Anolis sagrei: one gene and its partner. The protein of the gene in region 2 interacts with the protein of the main gene of each other region in a pairwise test. Links are inferred from orthologs where the notes say so. Each region holds a gene or a part of one and is shown on either strand. Other genes may lie near its edges.

What was found.
Region 1: the proteins of TRIP6 (region 2) and RAD23A interact in binary tests that used the Homo sapiens proteins (3 or more experiments, as listed by UniProt). The two-hybrid records come from large-scale screens. The link is inferred for Anolis sagrei from reciprocal best matches to the Homo sapiens genes TRIP6 and RAD23A.

What each region holds. Positions count from the first base shown.
Region 1 is NC_090022.1:162,470,622-162,477,753, forward strand, and holds the start of RAD23A (UV excision repair protein RAD23 homolog A), read left to right. Parts: upstream 1-4,115; 5' UTR 4,116-4,279; coding exon 4,280-4,351; intron 4,352-7,132. UniProt on the Homo sapiens protein: Multiubiquitin chain receptor involved in modulation of proteasomal degradation. Binds to 'Lys-48'-linked polyubiquitin chains in a length-dependent manner and with a lower affinity to 'Lys-63'-linked polyubiquitin chains.
Region 2 is NC_090026.1:4,965,857-4,973,616, reverse strand, and holds the start of TRIP6 (thyroid receptor-interacting protein 6), read right to left. Parts: upstream 3,018-7,760; 5' UTR 2,866-3,017; intron 1-2,865. UniProt on the Homo sapiens protein: Relays signals from the cell surface to the nucleus to weaken adherens junction and promote actin cytoskeleton reorganization and cell invasiveness. Involved in lysophosphatidic acid-induced cell adhesion and migration.

The DNA.
Region 1 (7,132 bases), on a different chromosome or scaffold from region 2:
TCCACTGGCTGCCAATTAGTTTCTGGGAAAGTACAAGGTTTTGATCTTTAAAGCCCTACATGGTTTGAGTCCAGGTTACATAAAGGATCACCTTCTCCCATACAATGCACCCCACACACTTTGGTCTTCTGTGGGGCGTCTGCTCCAACCAGCTAGAACTCAACTGGCAACTACCACCCAGAGGATCTTTTCGTCAGCCGCCCATGACTGGAACAACCCACCGGAAGAACTAACAGCTAAATGAGCTGTCAGAATTTAAAAACCATGTAAAGACCTATTTTTTCTGGCAAGCCTACTCAATCTAAACATGAATGTTAAGTGTCCTTTGTTTGATCTCTGTTTTGTGTGTTTTAGTATGTAATTGTAGATACGTTTTGGTGTGTAATTTTTATGAAGGTTCATTTTAGTGTTTTTGCTGTGTATTTTAATTGTTTTGTAACCTGCCTTGAGCCATAAGGAGAGGCGGGTAAGAAGTATTATTATTATTATTATTATTATTATTTAATGCAGCTAAACGTAGACTTGTATAACATGGTCAGTGGAGTTCAAACTGCAGAATATGGCAGTCTTTGATAGTTGTCCATTGCAGTTCTGAGACAAGATTTTATTTATCATGTCAGAAGGAATTGAGAATACAGTTATAATGTATGAAAAACCACAAAGTTAAAACTTGGCATTATACTTAATTTCTTTTGACCAGAAGCTGGCCACTTTGAGTGCCTTCTGGTGTTGCTGTGAAAAGACCCTCCACTGTGCATGTGGCAGGGCTCAGACTGCATTGTAGTGAGTGGTCTGTGCTTTGCTCTTCTCCACATTTACATGTCATGGACTCCACTTTGTGGCTCCATTTCTTAAGATTGGCTCTGCATCTCGTGGTGCCAGAGCTCAGTCTGCTCAACACCTTCCAAGTCGCCCAGTTTTCTGTGCCTAGGGGGGAGTTTCTCATCTGGTATCAGCTGATTGAGATTCTGGATTTTAACCTGCCACTTTTGGACTCTCACTTGCTGAGATGTGCCTGCAAGTATCTCTATAGATCTTAGGAAGCTATTTCTTGGTTTAAGACTTGGTTATGTTGGCAGATATCTGAACAGAGGCTGGGCCGAAGATGTCGATGCCTTGGTCATTTCAATACCAGCTGCTACTTCTCAACAGATGTCAGGTGGTACAATATAGTATAATTTTCTAGCGATGTTGGGCATAGACATCCTATGATAATGTGGCATGTCTAATTAAGAGCCACATCCACTGTTTTAATGTGGTGGGATATACAAGGGTTGGAACCTTAATAGTGGCAACACTGCTGTAAAGACGCCATGCAACAAAACCAAAGAATGTCGCGTAAACCACGTTAGTTACATACCTACCTTAACTCTGAGCAAAAAGACTCGCCCTTCCTACATCATGCGCATACGGAGTGACACGAAGAACTGAGCCTCGAATTAGTTTACGGTCTAATAAGTGTCGTCACGATGTTTTCTAAACAAGAACAACAGAGATGGATAAAGATTGAATGTGCCAGAGGTCGTACAGCACGACAGTGTCATCAAGGTTTTCAAGAGGCTTGCAGGGAATCTGCATTGCCTTATAGAACAGTGGCAAGGTGGGTAAAAGCCTTCAACGAATGATGCCAAAATGTGGCAGACATGCATTGGTCAGGTCATCCTAGTGTCAGCAAAGCAGAAGTGAATGCTGTTGCTGCACTTGTAGACAGTGATCGACACCATACAATTCATGAGCTGGCCCAAAACACAGGATTTGCGCATATGACCGTACAACCTCTGGCACATTCAATCTTTATCCAACTCTGTTGTTCTTATTTCAAAAACATCTTGTCAACAGTTACTTTAGACTGCAAGCTAATACAAATCTCAGTTTTTCACATCACTCCACATGCCCGTAATGTAGAAATGGTGAGTATTTTTGCTCAGCGGTAAGGTAGGTATGTAACTAATGTGTGGTATACGCAACATTCTTTGGTTTCGTTGCATGGCGTCTTTACAGTAGTGTTGCCACTATTAAAGTTCCAACCCTCGTATTGCACACTGGGCTGGACATGTCAATGCTCTGGTCCTTTCGTTACAGTCTGCTATTTTCTGGCGGATGTCAAGGAGCCACCACCACACTCCGGGGCAGAGAGTTCCACTGCTGAACAGCTGTCACGGTGAAGAAGTTCTTCCTAATATTCAGATGGAATCTCCTTTCTTGTACAGGGTGAGGCAGCATAACTTCCTTTTTTAAAATGCGTACCATTCAGTCGGTTGAAGATGTGGTCTTGTTCGAGAGGCGGGAGTATAAATTTTTGTCCTGACACAGTTCAGTCGGCATCATGCGTTGGGACAGTGAGGAGCGTGCTTTTGCCATTGAGGCCTACTTTTCGAGCGGATTTGGAGTGGCCGGCCCGCTCTCCAGATTTGGCCCCTTGTGATTTTTTTCTATGGGTTTTTTGAAATCCCGTGTTTATGTGAACCGTCCAAGGACCCTACAAGATTTGAAGACCAACATCCAGGAAGAAACTGCCAACATAACGCCTGCTATGCTGGCAAGAGTCATGACAAAAGCCAAAAATCGGTTTACTCAGTGTATGGAGAATGGGGGACGTCACCTACCTAATTTGATCTTCAAAACTATGTAAAACAAAACTTTAGGTAGGCGCTTACATTACAAAAAAATAAAATAAAAATTCTGATTCATTCAATGGGTTTTATTAAGTTTTGAAAAAAGGAAGTTATGCTGCGTCACCCTCAAGTTTGAAGCCATTGCTCTGCGTCCTAGTCTTCATGACAGCAGAAAACAAGCTTGCTCCCTCCTCCCTATGACTTCCTCTCACATATTTATACATGGCCCTCACCATGTCTCCTAGAATCAAAGAGTTGGAAGAGACCTCATGGGCCATCCAGTCCAACGTCCTGCCAAGAAGCAGGAATATTGCATTCAAATCACCCATGACAGATGGCCATCCAGACTCTGTTTAAAAGCTTCCAAAGGAGCCTCCACCACACTTTGGGGCAGAGAGTTCCACTGCTGAACGGCTCTCACAGTCAGGAAGTTCTTCCTCATGTTTCTTGTAGTTTGAAATCATTGTTCCACGTCCTAGTCTCCAGGGAAGCAGAAAACAAGCTTGCTCCCTCCTCCCTGTGGCTTCCTCTCACATATTTATACATGGCTATCATATCTCCTCTCATCCTTCTCTTCTTCAGGCTAAACATGCCCAGCTCCTTAAGCCGCTCCTCATAGAGCTTGTTCTCCAGACCCTTGATCATTTTAGTCGCCCTCCTCTGGACACATTCCAGCTTGTCAACTTCTCCCTTCAATAGTGGTGCCCAGAATTGGACACAGTATTCCAGGTGTGGTCTATGCAAAGCAGAATAGAGGGGTAGCATTACTTCCCTAGATCTAGACACTAGGCTCCTACTGATGCAGGCCAAAATCCCATTGGCTTTTTTGCTGCCACATCACATTGTTGGCTCATGTTTAACTTGTTTTCCTCGAGGACTCCAAGATCTTTTTCAGACGTACTGCTCTTGGGCCAGGCATTGTCCCCCATTTTGTATCTTTGCATTTCGTTTTTTCTGTCTAAGTGGAGTATCTTGCCTCTCAACCTTCTCTTCAGGCTAAACATGCTCAGCTCCATAAGCCGCTCCTCATAGGGCTTGTTCTCCAGACCCTTGATCATTTTAGTCGCCCTCATCTCTCTTCAATTGTGGACTCCAAAATTGGACACAATATTCCAGGTGTGGTCTAACCAAGGCAGAATAGAGGGAGAGCATGACTTCCCTAGATCTAGACACTATGCTCCTATTGATCCATTGGCTTTTTTTGCCACCGCATCCCATTGTGGGCTCATGTTTAACTGGTTGTTCATGAGGACTCCCAAGATCTTTTTCACAGCGTTCAGAAGAGTCCCCTCAAAGCGCTGAGGTGCAGCTTGCAGTCCCTGATCAATCCCTATGGTTGGAAGAGCGGCTCCAAAGCAGTGGCGGGAAAAAGGAGGCCCGTGAAGATTAACCCCCGCCCCCTCCCGCTGGCACACCACCCGGAAGTCAGACTCCCTCCTCAGCCTCCGACTCTATGGTCGTGAGCCACGCGCGTTGCCCCATTCGTCCTTCCCGCGTCACGTGGGGAGGGCCTGGCGGGCAACGGAAGTGGCGCCAAGGGGCGATTAAAATGGCGGCGGCGTGAAGTTGCATGTTGTGGTGGGGGCCCCCGCTGAGTCCGTTGGCAGGAACCGCCCGTCTTCGCCGCCGCTGCCGCCGCCTCTTGGGCCTTCGCTCCCGCCGCCATGGCGGTGACCGTCACCCTCAAGACCCTCCAGCAGCAGACCTTCAAGATCCGGATGGAGCCCGAAGAGACGGTGAGCTCCCTCCCTGCCTGGCGCCCTTCCCGAATTAGCCCTCCCGCTTCCACGGAACTCACATTGGGTGATTTTATTCTCCATGGTGCAGTGGGTTAATCCCTTGTCCCAGCAGGACTGAAGACCGACAGGTCGCAGGTTCGAATCCGGGGAGAGCGTGGATGAGCTCCTTCCGTCAGCTTCAGCTCCCCATTGCGGGGACATGAGAGAAGCCTCCCACAAGGATGATAAAACATCAAAACATCCGGGCGTCCCCTGGGCAGCGTCCTTGCAGACGGCCAATTCTCCCACACCAGAAGCGACTTGCAGTTTCTCAAGTCGCTCCTGACAGGACAAAAAAATATTCTCCACTAGCCGTCCCTTGCCACACGTTGCTGTGGCCCACATAGGGGAGGTTTGGCCCAATTCTATCATTGGTGGGGTTCAGAATGCTCTGCGATTGTAGGTGAACTATAAATCCCAGCAACTACAACTCCCAAATGTCAAGATGGGGGTCACCCAAGATTATCAGGAAACATAATATTTTCTGTTGGTCATGGGTATTCTCTATGGGAAGTTTGGCCCAATTTTATCATTGGTGGGGTTCAGAATTGTAGGTGAACTATATATCCCAGCAACTATAACTACTAAATGTCAAGGTCTATTTCCCCCAAACTCCACCAGTGTTCACATTTGGGCATATTGAGTATTCATGTAGTTTGGTCCAGACCCATCATTGTTTGAGTCCACAGTGATCTCTGGATGTAGGTGAACTACAACCCCAAAACCAAAGGACACTGCCCACCAAACCCTTCCAGTATTTTCTGTTGGTCATGGGAAAACTGTGTGTCAAGTTTGATTCAGTTCCATCGTTGGTGAGGTTCAGAATGCTCTTTGATTGTAGGTGAACTATAAATCTCCGTAACTACAATTCCCAAATGACAAAATCAATTTTTTTGAGTGAAGGACATACATTGGGTTGTTAGGCATATTCTGTCCAAATTTGGTGTCAATTCGTCCAGTGGTTTTTGAGTTCTGTTAATCCCACAAACGAACATTACATTTTTATTGATATAGATAGGAGCCCCCGGTGGCGTAATGGGTTAAACCCTTGTGCCAGCAGGAGACTGACAGGTCGCAGGTTCAAATCTGGGGAGCGCGTGGATGAGCTCACTCCGTCAGCTCCAGCTCCCCATTGCGGGGACATGAGAGAAACCTCCCACAAGGATGATAAAAACATCAAAACATCCGGGCGTCCCCTGGGCAGCGTTCTTGCAGACGGCCAATTCTCTCACACCAGAAGAGACTTGCAGTTTCTCAAGTCGCTCCTGACAAGACAAAAAAATATATATTCTCCATAGTATTTATTTATTTATTTACCGTATTTGTATACCGCCTTTCTCAGCCTATCAGTGACTCAAGGCGGTTTCCAACAAAACAGTATACATAGTATCATAATACAATTTAAAACATTAAAATTACATAAATCACACAACAAGGCTGATCTGGCCGGGGTGGTCCATGCCTTGGTCACCTCTAGATTGGACTACTGTAATGCGCTGTATGTGGGGCTGCCCTTGAAAACGGCTCGGAAATTCCAACTGGTCCAATGGGCGGCGGCCAGGTTGTTAACTGGTGCTCCTTACAGAGAGAGGTCAACCCTCCTGTTTAAGGAGCTCCGTCTGATGTCCTTGGGGAGAAAGTTCCCCAAGGAGCTTGTCTGATTTCAGGAGCTTGTCTGATGTCCTTGGGGAGAAAGTTCCAGAGTCGGGGGGCCATTCATTTTCCGGTCCCAATTCAAGGTGCAGGTGCTCACCTACAAAGCCCTAAACAGTTTGGGACCTGCCTACCTGCGTGACCGCATCTCCGTATATGAACCCACACGATCCCTCCGTTCATCTGGAGAGGCCTGTTCGCGATCCCACCTGCGTCGCAAGTGCGTTTGGTGGGGACGAGGGACAGGGCCTTCTCTGTGGTGGCCCCCCGACTCTGGAACTTTCTCCCCAAGGACATCAGACAAGCCCCAATGTTGGCAGTCTTTCGGAAGAGCTTGAAGACCTGGCTGTTCCAGTGTGCCTTTCCAGAATAGGAATCTCCCAGTATCATGTCCCAAACGCACTTTACTAGAGATTTAAGATTGCCTGCACATCGCACCTACCCTAAAATCCTTACATTTCACCTGTCATGTCCAGCACTTTTAATTTTAGTCATTACATTTGGCCCGGCCCTAGTTTTAAATGTGTTATGATGTATTGTTTTTAATGTTTTATTGCTATTGCTTTTAATGTTTATTGGTTTGCTTTATGAATTTTATTGTTGTACATGTTATGCTGTTGTTTTATTGAGAGCCTTGGCCTTTGTAAGCCGAACCGAGTCCTTCGGGAGATGTTAGCGGGGTACAAATAAAGTTAATATCCTCCTCTGGACTCATTCCAGCTTGTCAACATCTCTCTTCAATTGTGGTGCCCAGAATTGGACACAATATTCCAGGTGTGGTCTAACCAAGGTAGAATAGAGGGATAGCATTACTTCCTTAGATCTAGACACTATGCTCCTATTGATGCAGGCCAAAATCCCATTGGCTTTTTTTGCCGCCACATCACATTGTTTGCTCATGTTTAACTTGCTGTCCACAAGGACTTCAAGATCTTTTTCACACATACTGCTCTCGAGCCAGGCATCCCCCATTCTGTATCTTTGAACTTTTTTTCTGCCTAAGTGGAGTATCTTGCATTTGTCACTGTTGAACTTCATTTTGTTAGTTTTGGCCCATCTCTCTAATCTGTCGAGATAATTTTGAAT
Region 2 (7,760 bases):
GATGGGAGTTGTAGTCCAACCCATCTGGAGGAGGGCTGACTCAGAAAAAGTCTGGTTTCAGTTCCGCTAAACAAAGAAGCAGAAGCTCTTTGACACACCCTGAAAGCCGCAAAGCTAGCAAATTATATATCTCATCTCTTGTGTTTGTGTGTGTGTGTGGATATATATCCATTTTAGGAGAAACATAGAAAGGAAATGGAGATTTATCCCCTTCTTTTTCTGTCCTTTGCAAAGGCCTTGCAAAACTACAGCTCCCTGGGTTCCATAGTAATTTACCCATAGCGGTTAAAGTGGTACCAAACTGCATTAATTTTATAGTGCAGAGGAGGCATGGGCAAACTTTGGCCCTCCAGGTGTTTTGGATTGCAACTCCCATCATTCCTAACAGCCTCAGGCCCCTTCCTTTTCCCCCTCAGCCGCTTAAGCGGCTGAGGGGGAAAAGGAAGGGGCCTGAGGCTGTTAGGAATGATGGGAGTTGCAATCCAAAACACCTGGAGGGCCAAAGTTTGCCCAGGTCTGGTATAGAGTGATGCACCCCAAGACTTCTGATTCTTTCCCAGGATCAGCTGAGCCTATCCAAAATGCTCAGGGAGCAAATGTGTTTTGGAATATTTGCATAGACATAATAAACAAACCCAGGCCCAAGTCGAGACATGAAATTGCACTGATGTTGCATCCATGCGCCTTCGAGACGTAGCCTGAAGGTAATGTTATCATATATTTGCAAAAATCATTTTGCACAGGTAACAACGTCTGCGTACGTACAATCCTTTCCCAGCCAGCCACCCAGGTGGATCGTTGTGGATTTTGGGAACCCTTTTTTCCAAAATTATGTTTAATCTAATTTTGGATTTCAAATAAAAATGTGTAATAATAATAATAATAATAATAAATAATAATACCTAAATATGCCAATTAATTCATTTTAATTTAAAATAATGCATTATTTTAAATTAAAATGATTTAATTGACATATTTATGTATTAAATATATATATTATATATATATAATGTACATAATAATAATAATTTATTTTAAATTAAAATGATTTAATTGACATATATTTTCTGCATCGCCATTCAATCCACAAAAAATTAAGAAGCAATAAAAATATGTTTAATCTAATTTCGGATTTCAAATAAACAATGTGTATATAATAATAATAATAAATACCTAAATATGTCAATTAATTCGTTTTAATTTAAAATAATGCAATATTTTAAATTAAAATGATTTAATTGACATATATTCTCTGCATCGCCATTCAATCCACAAAGAAATAAAAAGCAATAAAAATATACTTTCAAATATTCAGAGCTGGGAAAAGTTACTTTTTTGGTCTCCAATCAGCAAAAGGGATGCTTGGAAAAGTTACTTTTTAAAAACCACAGTCCCCAAGTCAGCATTCTCCTTAATCAGCATGGGGAAAAAACCCAAAAGGAATCTTTGGAAAAGTTACTTTTTGGGTCTCCAGCCCCCAGGATCTCTTCAGCCAGCAAAAGGGATGCTCATAAAAGTTACTTTTTTAACATCATAGTCCCCCAAGACAGAATTCTCCTTAACCAGCACGGAAAAAAATTAATGGGAATGGTCAGAGCTTGGGAAAGTTACTTTTTTGGTCTCCAGCCCCTAGACATCTTCAGCCAGCAAAGGAGATGCTTGGGAAAGTTACTTGTTTTTAGACCATAGTCCCCCAAGACAGCATTCTCCTTAATCAGCATGGAAAAAATTAATGGGAATGGTCAGAGTTTGGAAAAGTTACTTTTTCCAAGTTTTACTCTCCTCAATCAAGCATGGCTTGGGGAAAATGGGAAGGAACCAGAATGTGGTCACAAATGCTGGAAAAACAAACCTTGGAATAAATAAACCTTGGAAAAGTTACTTTTTTGGGACCCCAAAACCACCAAAACGTAAGAGGAAGGGGAAAAAAAGAAGTTTCCTTATCAGACCTTGCAAAAGTTACTTTTCTGTAGGAAGAATGAAGGAAGAGAGAGGTTTCCTATCAATCCAAGGGTTATTAGAACTTTAGAAAAGTTACTTTTTTCCAAGTTTTTTCCAAGTTACTCTCCTCACTCAAGCATGGCTTGGAGGAAATGGGAAGAAACCAGAATGTGGTCACTAATGGCTGGAAGAAGTTACTTTCTTGCCTGACACTTCCCACAATCATTCAGAATCAACAGGACTTGGAAAAGTTACTTTTTTGGGATCCCAAAACCACCAAAAAGGAGGAGGAGGGGGGAAAGAAGGAGATTAAAGTTACTTTCTTGCCTGACATTTCCCACAATCATTCAGAATCAACAGGCCTTGGAAAAGTTACTTTTTTGGGATCCCAAAACCACCAAAAAGGGTGGGGAAGAAGGAGATTAAAGTTACTTTCTTGCCTGACACTTCCCACAATCATTCAGAATCAACAGGCCTTGGAAAAGTTACTTTTTTTCGTATCCCAAAACCACCAAAAAGGAGGGGGGGGGGGGGAAAGAAGGAGATTAAAGTTACTTTCTTGCCTGAAACTTCCCACAATCATTCAGAATCAACCAGCCTTGGAAAAGTTACTTTTTGGAGACCCCAACACCACCAAAAAAGTAGGAGAGAGGTGGGATTTCTTATCAGACCTTGCAAAAGTTACTTTTCTATTGGAGGAATGAAGGAAGAAAGAGGTTTCCTAACAGATCAAAGAGATGTCTTATTAGAACTTAAGAAAAGTTACTTTTTGAGGGTCGAAGTCTCCTAGAACCTAGCAATGAGGAAAAAAGTAACTTTTCCACTCTTTTTGGGGGGGGAGAAGTTTCCCCCCATTACACCCTTCGCTCCTAGCCATGCTGTTGGTTGCAAAAAGTAACTTTTCCAAGAGTAGAGCCTTCCTACCTGCTCTCACCTGGGTCCTCCGCTCCTGCTCCTGCTTCCTTTCCAACTTTCCTGTATTTTTATTTTTTTGCAAAAGGCAATGGAGAGAGAGAGGCACAGACCCCGGGGATGACGTCACCGCATTCCAAAGCGTCACGTGGAGCCTGGGAATTCCTGCCACTTCCGGTGGGAGGAGGGTCAAGGGGAGGGGGGAGATTTGGGGAGGAGAAATAGAAGGAAGGAGGAGGAAAAAGAGAGATATTGGGAATGAATGGGAAGGGAATGAATGAACTGGGAGGCAGAACTTTGGAAGGACTTCCTGAGAGTGGAATAGAATGGAGAGTTTGGGACCTACAGCTGGATGGCCATCTGTTGGGAGAGATTGGATTGTGCCTTTAAGAGTCTCCTCCAATTGTATGAATGCATGATTGTGTCACACTTTCTCAAAGACTTCCTGAGAATGGGATAGAGTGGAGAATTTTGAATCTACAGTTGGATGGCCATCTGTTGGGAGGGATTGGATTGTGCCCTTCTATCTGGTTGGACTAGATGACCTTTTAGAGTCTCTTCCAACTCTATGAATGCATGATTCACCCTTTTGGAAGGACTTCCTGAGAGTGGGATAAGCTGGAGTTTTTTAATCTACAGCTGGATGGCCATCTGTTGGGAGGGATTGGATTGTGACCACCTATCTGGTTGGACTGGATGGCCTTTAAGAGTCTTCCAACTCTATGAATGCATGATTCTATCACACTTTTGGAAGGACTTCCTGAGAGTGGGATAAACTGGAGTTTTTGAATCTACAGCTGGATGGCCATCTGTTGGGAGGGATTGGATTGTGCCCTCCTATCTGGTTGGACTAGATGACCTTTTAGAGTCTCTTCCAACTCTATGAATGCATGATTCTATCACACTTTTGGAAAGACTTCCTGAGAGTGGAATAGAATGGAGGGTTTTGGAGCTACAGCTGGATGGCCATCTGTTGGGAGGGATTGTGTTGTGCCTTTAAGAGTCTCTTCCAACTCTATGAATGCATGGTTATGTCACACTTTTGGAAGGACTTCCTGGGAATGGGATAGGCTGGAGAGTTTTGAAGCTACAGCTGGATGGCCATCTGTTGGGAGGGATTGCATTGTGCCTTTAAGAGTCTCTTCCAACTCTATGAATGCATGATTCTATCACACTTTGGAAGGCCTTCCTGAGAGAGGGATAAGCTATAGCTTTTGGAGGTACAACTGGATGTGATATAACCATGAATTCATGGCCATCTGGATGGCCATCTGTTGGGAGGGATTGGATTGTGTCCCCCTATCTGGTTGGACTAGATGACCTTTTAGAGTCTCTTCCAACTTTATGAATGAATGGTTATATCACACTTTTGGAAAGACTTCCAGAGAGTGGAGTAGAATGGAGGGTTTTGGAGATATAGCTGGATGGCCATCTGTTGGGAGGGATTGGATTGTGCCTTTTAGAGTCTCCTCCAATTGTATGAATGCATGATTATGTCACACTTTTGGAAGGATTTCCTGGGAGTGAGATAAGCTGGAGAGTTTTGAAGTTACAGCTGGATGGCCATCTGATGGGAGGGATTGGATTGTGACCTCCTATCTGGTTGGACTGGATGGCCTTTTAGAATCTCTTCCAACTCAGTGAATACATGGTTATGTCACACTTTTGGAAGGATTTCCTGGGAGTGGGATAAACTGGAGAGTTTTGGACCTACAGCTGGATGGCCATCTGTTGGGAGAGATTAGATTGTGCCTTTAAAAGTCTTCTCCAACTGTATGAATGCATGGTTATGTCACACTTTTGGAAGGATTTCCTGAGAGTGGGATAGGCTGTAGCTTTTGGAGGTACAACTGGATGGCCATCTGTTGGGAGGGATTGGATTGTGATCTTATAGTTGGACTGAATAGCCTTTAAGAGCCTCTTCCAACTCTATGAATGTAGTTATATCACACTTTTGGAAGGACTTCCTGAGAGTGGAATAGAATGGAGGGTTTTGAACCTACAGTTGGATGGCCATCTGTTGGGAGGGATCGGATTGTGCCCTTCTATCTGGTTGGACGAGATGACCTTTTAGAGTCTCTTCCAACTCTATGAATGCATGGTTATATCACACTTTTGGAAAGACTTCCAGAGAGTGGAGTAGAATGGAGGGTTTTGGAGATATAGCTGGATGGCCATCTGTTGGGAGGGATTGGATTGTGCCTTTTAGAGTCTCCTCCAATTGTATGAATGCATGATTATGTCACACTTTTGGAAGGATTTCCTGGGAGTGAGATAAGCTGGAGAGTTTTGAAGTTACAGCTGGATGGCCATCTGATGGGAGGGATTATGTTGTGCCTTTAAGAGTCTCTTCCAACTCTATGAATGCATGGTTATGTCACACTTTTGGAAGGGCTTCCTGAGAGTGGGATAGGCTGGAGATGTTTTGAAGCTACAGCTGGATGGCCATCTGTTGGGAGGGATTGCATTGTGCCTTTGAGAGTCTCTTCCAACTCTATGAATGCATGATTCTATCACACTTTTGGAAGGACTTCCTGAGAGTGGGATAAGCTGGAGGTTTTGGAGGTACAGCTGGATGACCATCTGTTGGGAGAGATTGGATTGTGCCCTCCTATCTGGTTGGACTGGATGGCCTTTAAGAGTCTCTTCCAACTCTATGAAGGCATGATTCTATCACACTTTTGGAAGGACTTCCTGGGAATGGGATAGGCTGGATGTTTTGAATCTACTGCTAGATGGCCATCTGTTGGGAGGGATTGGATTGTGACCTATCTGGTTGGACCGGATGGCTTTTAAGAGTCTCTTCCAACTCTGAATGCATGGTTATATCACACTTTTGAAAGGACTTCCTGAGAGTGGAATAGAATGGAGGGTTTTGAAGTTACAGCTGGATGGCCATCTGTTGGGAGGGATTGGATTGTGCCTTTAAGAGCCTCTTCCAACCCTATGAATGCATGATTATGTCACACTTTTGGAAAGATTTCCTGAGAATGGGATAAGCTGGATGTTTTAGAGCTACAGCTGGATGGCCATCTGTTGGGAGGGATTGGATTATGCCTTCCTATCTGGTTGGACTGCATGGCCTTTAGGAGTCTCTTACAGCTCTATAAATGCATGATTCTCTCACACTTTGGAAGGACTTCCTGGGAATGGAATAGCCTGGATGTTTTGAATCTACAGCTAGATGGCCATCTGTTGGGAGGGATTGGATTGTGACTTTAAGAGTCTCTTCCAGCTCTATGAATGCATGATTCTATCACACTTTTGGAAGGACTTCCCGAGTGGAATAGAATGGAGGGTTTTGAAGCTACAGCTGGATGGCCATCTGTTGGGAGAGATTGGATTGTGCCCTCCTATCTGGTTGGACTGGATGGCCTTTAAGAGTCTCTTCCAACTCTGTGAATGCATGATTCCATCCCATTTTTTGGAAAGACTTCCTGAGAGTGGGATAGGCTAGAAGTCTTGAATGGATGGCCATCTGTTGGGAAGGATTGGATTGTGACTTTAAGAGTCTCTTCCAGCTCTATGAATGCATGATTCTATCACACTTTTGGAAGGACTTCCCGAGTGGAATAGAATGGAGGGTTTTGAAGCTACAGCTGGATGGCCATCTGCTGGGAGGGATTGGATTGTGCCTTCCTATCTGATTGGACTGCGTGGTCTTTAAGAGTCTCTTCCAACTCTATGAATGCATAGTTATATCACACTTTTGGAAGGACTTCCTGAGAGTGGGATAAGCTGGAGGTTTTGAAGTTACAGCTGGATGGCCATCTGTTGGGAGGGATTGGATTGTGCCATCCTACCTGGTTGGACTGGATGGCCTTTTAGAATATCTTCCAACTCTATGAATGCATGGTTATATCACACTTTTAGAAGGACTTCCTGAGAGTGGGATAAGCTGGAGTTTTTGAATCTACAGCTGGATGGCCATCTGTTGGGAGGGATTGGATTGTGCCTTCCTATCCGGTCGGACTCCATTGCCTTTTAGAGTCTTTGAATGAATGATTATATCACAAGCCTGGGCCAACTTGGGACCTCCAGATGTTTTGGACTACACCTCCCACAATTCCTAACCGCCGGTAGGCGGTTAGGAATTGTGGGAGTTGTAGTCCAAAACACCTGGAGGGCCCAAGTTGGCCCAGGCAACTTTAGTGGCAACAAATACCAGCAAAATGACTAACCTCCAGGCTTTCTCTGCTTTGTTTCAGGCAAGTCGGTGCCTGCCTAACAGGGATGGGACGGAGGCCGTATTTTCCCCCAATTCTGGGTCTTCCTCTTTGCTGAAATTCGTATTGACCTGTCCGGACCTGTCCCTGGGATTACCAGCATCGAACTGGATTATATGAGTCTACATTTGCCGTATGACCCTTTTCAATATATGCCAAAACTGCATTAGGAGAAGAATGAGTCTGCGTCTACACCCTTTTGCTTCAGAATGCAAATGAGCTGCACCGATCTGGATTATGTGAGTCTACACTTGCCATATAATCCAGTTCAGTGCATTCTGAAGCTGTGTTGATCCAGTGTGTCATAAAGTTGGGAAAAGTAACTTTTCCTCCCCAAAACTGGACCTACCAAAATACCTTATCCGTCATTATATTTTGCATCGAATTCCAAGAATCTGGGTGGATTCTAGTCCAAAGAAAAAGTAACTTTTCCAAGCTGTAAAAGTTTGGAAGAGCATGTGCAGAGTGCAAAGATTCCTAAGAATTGCTATGCATCTCAGAACCAGTGCTTCCCAAACTTTCGCAGCCAATGGCTCAAATGCTATGGAATCTTGGGAGTTGTAGTTTTGCAAGGACTCCGGTTTTCTTTGCCAAAGAGTGCTGGGGCCTTTGCCAAACTACAACTCCCAGAACTCCATGGTGTTGAGCTACAGTGATTAAAATGGCATCAAATGCTATGGA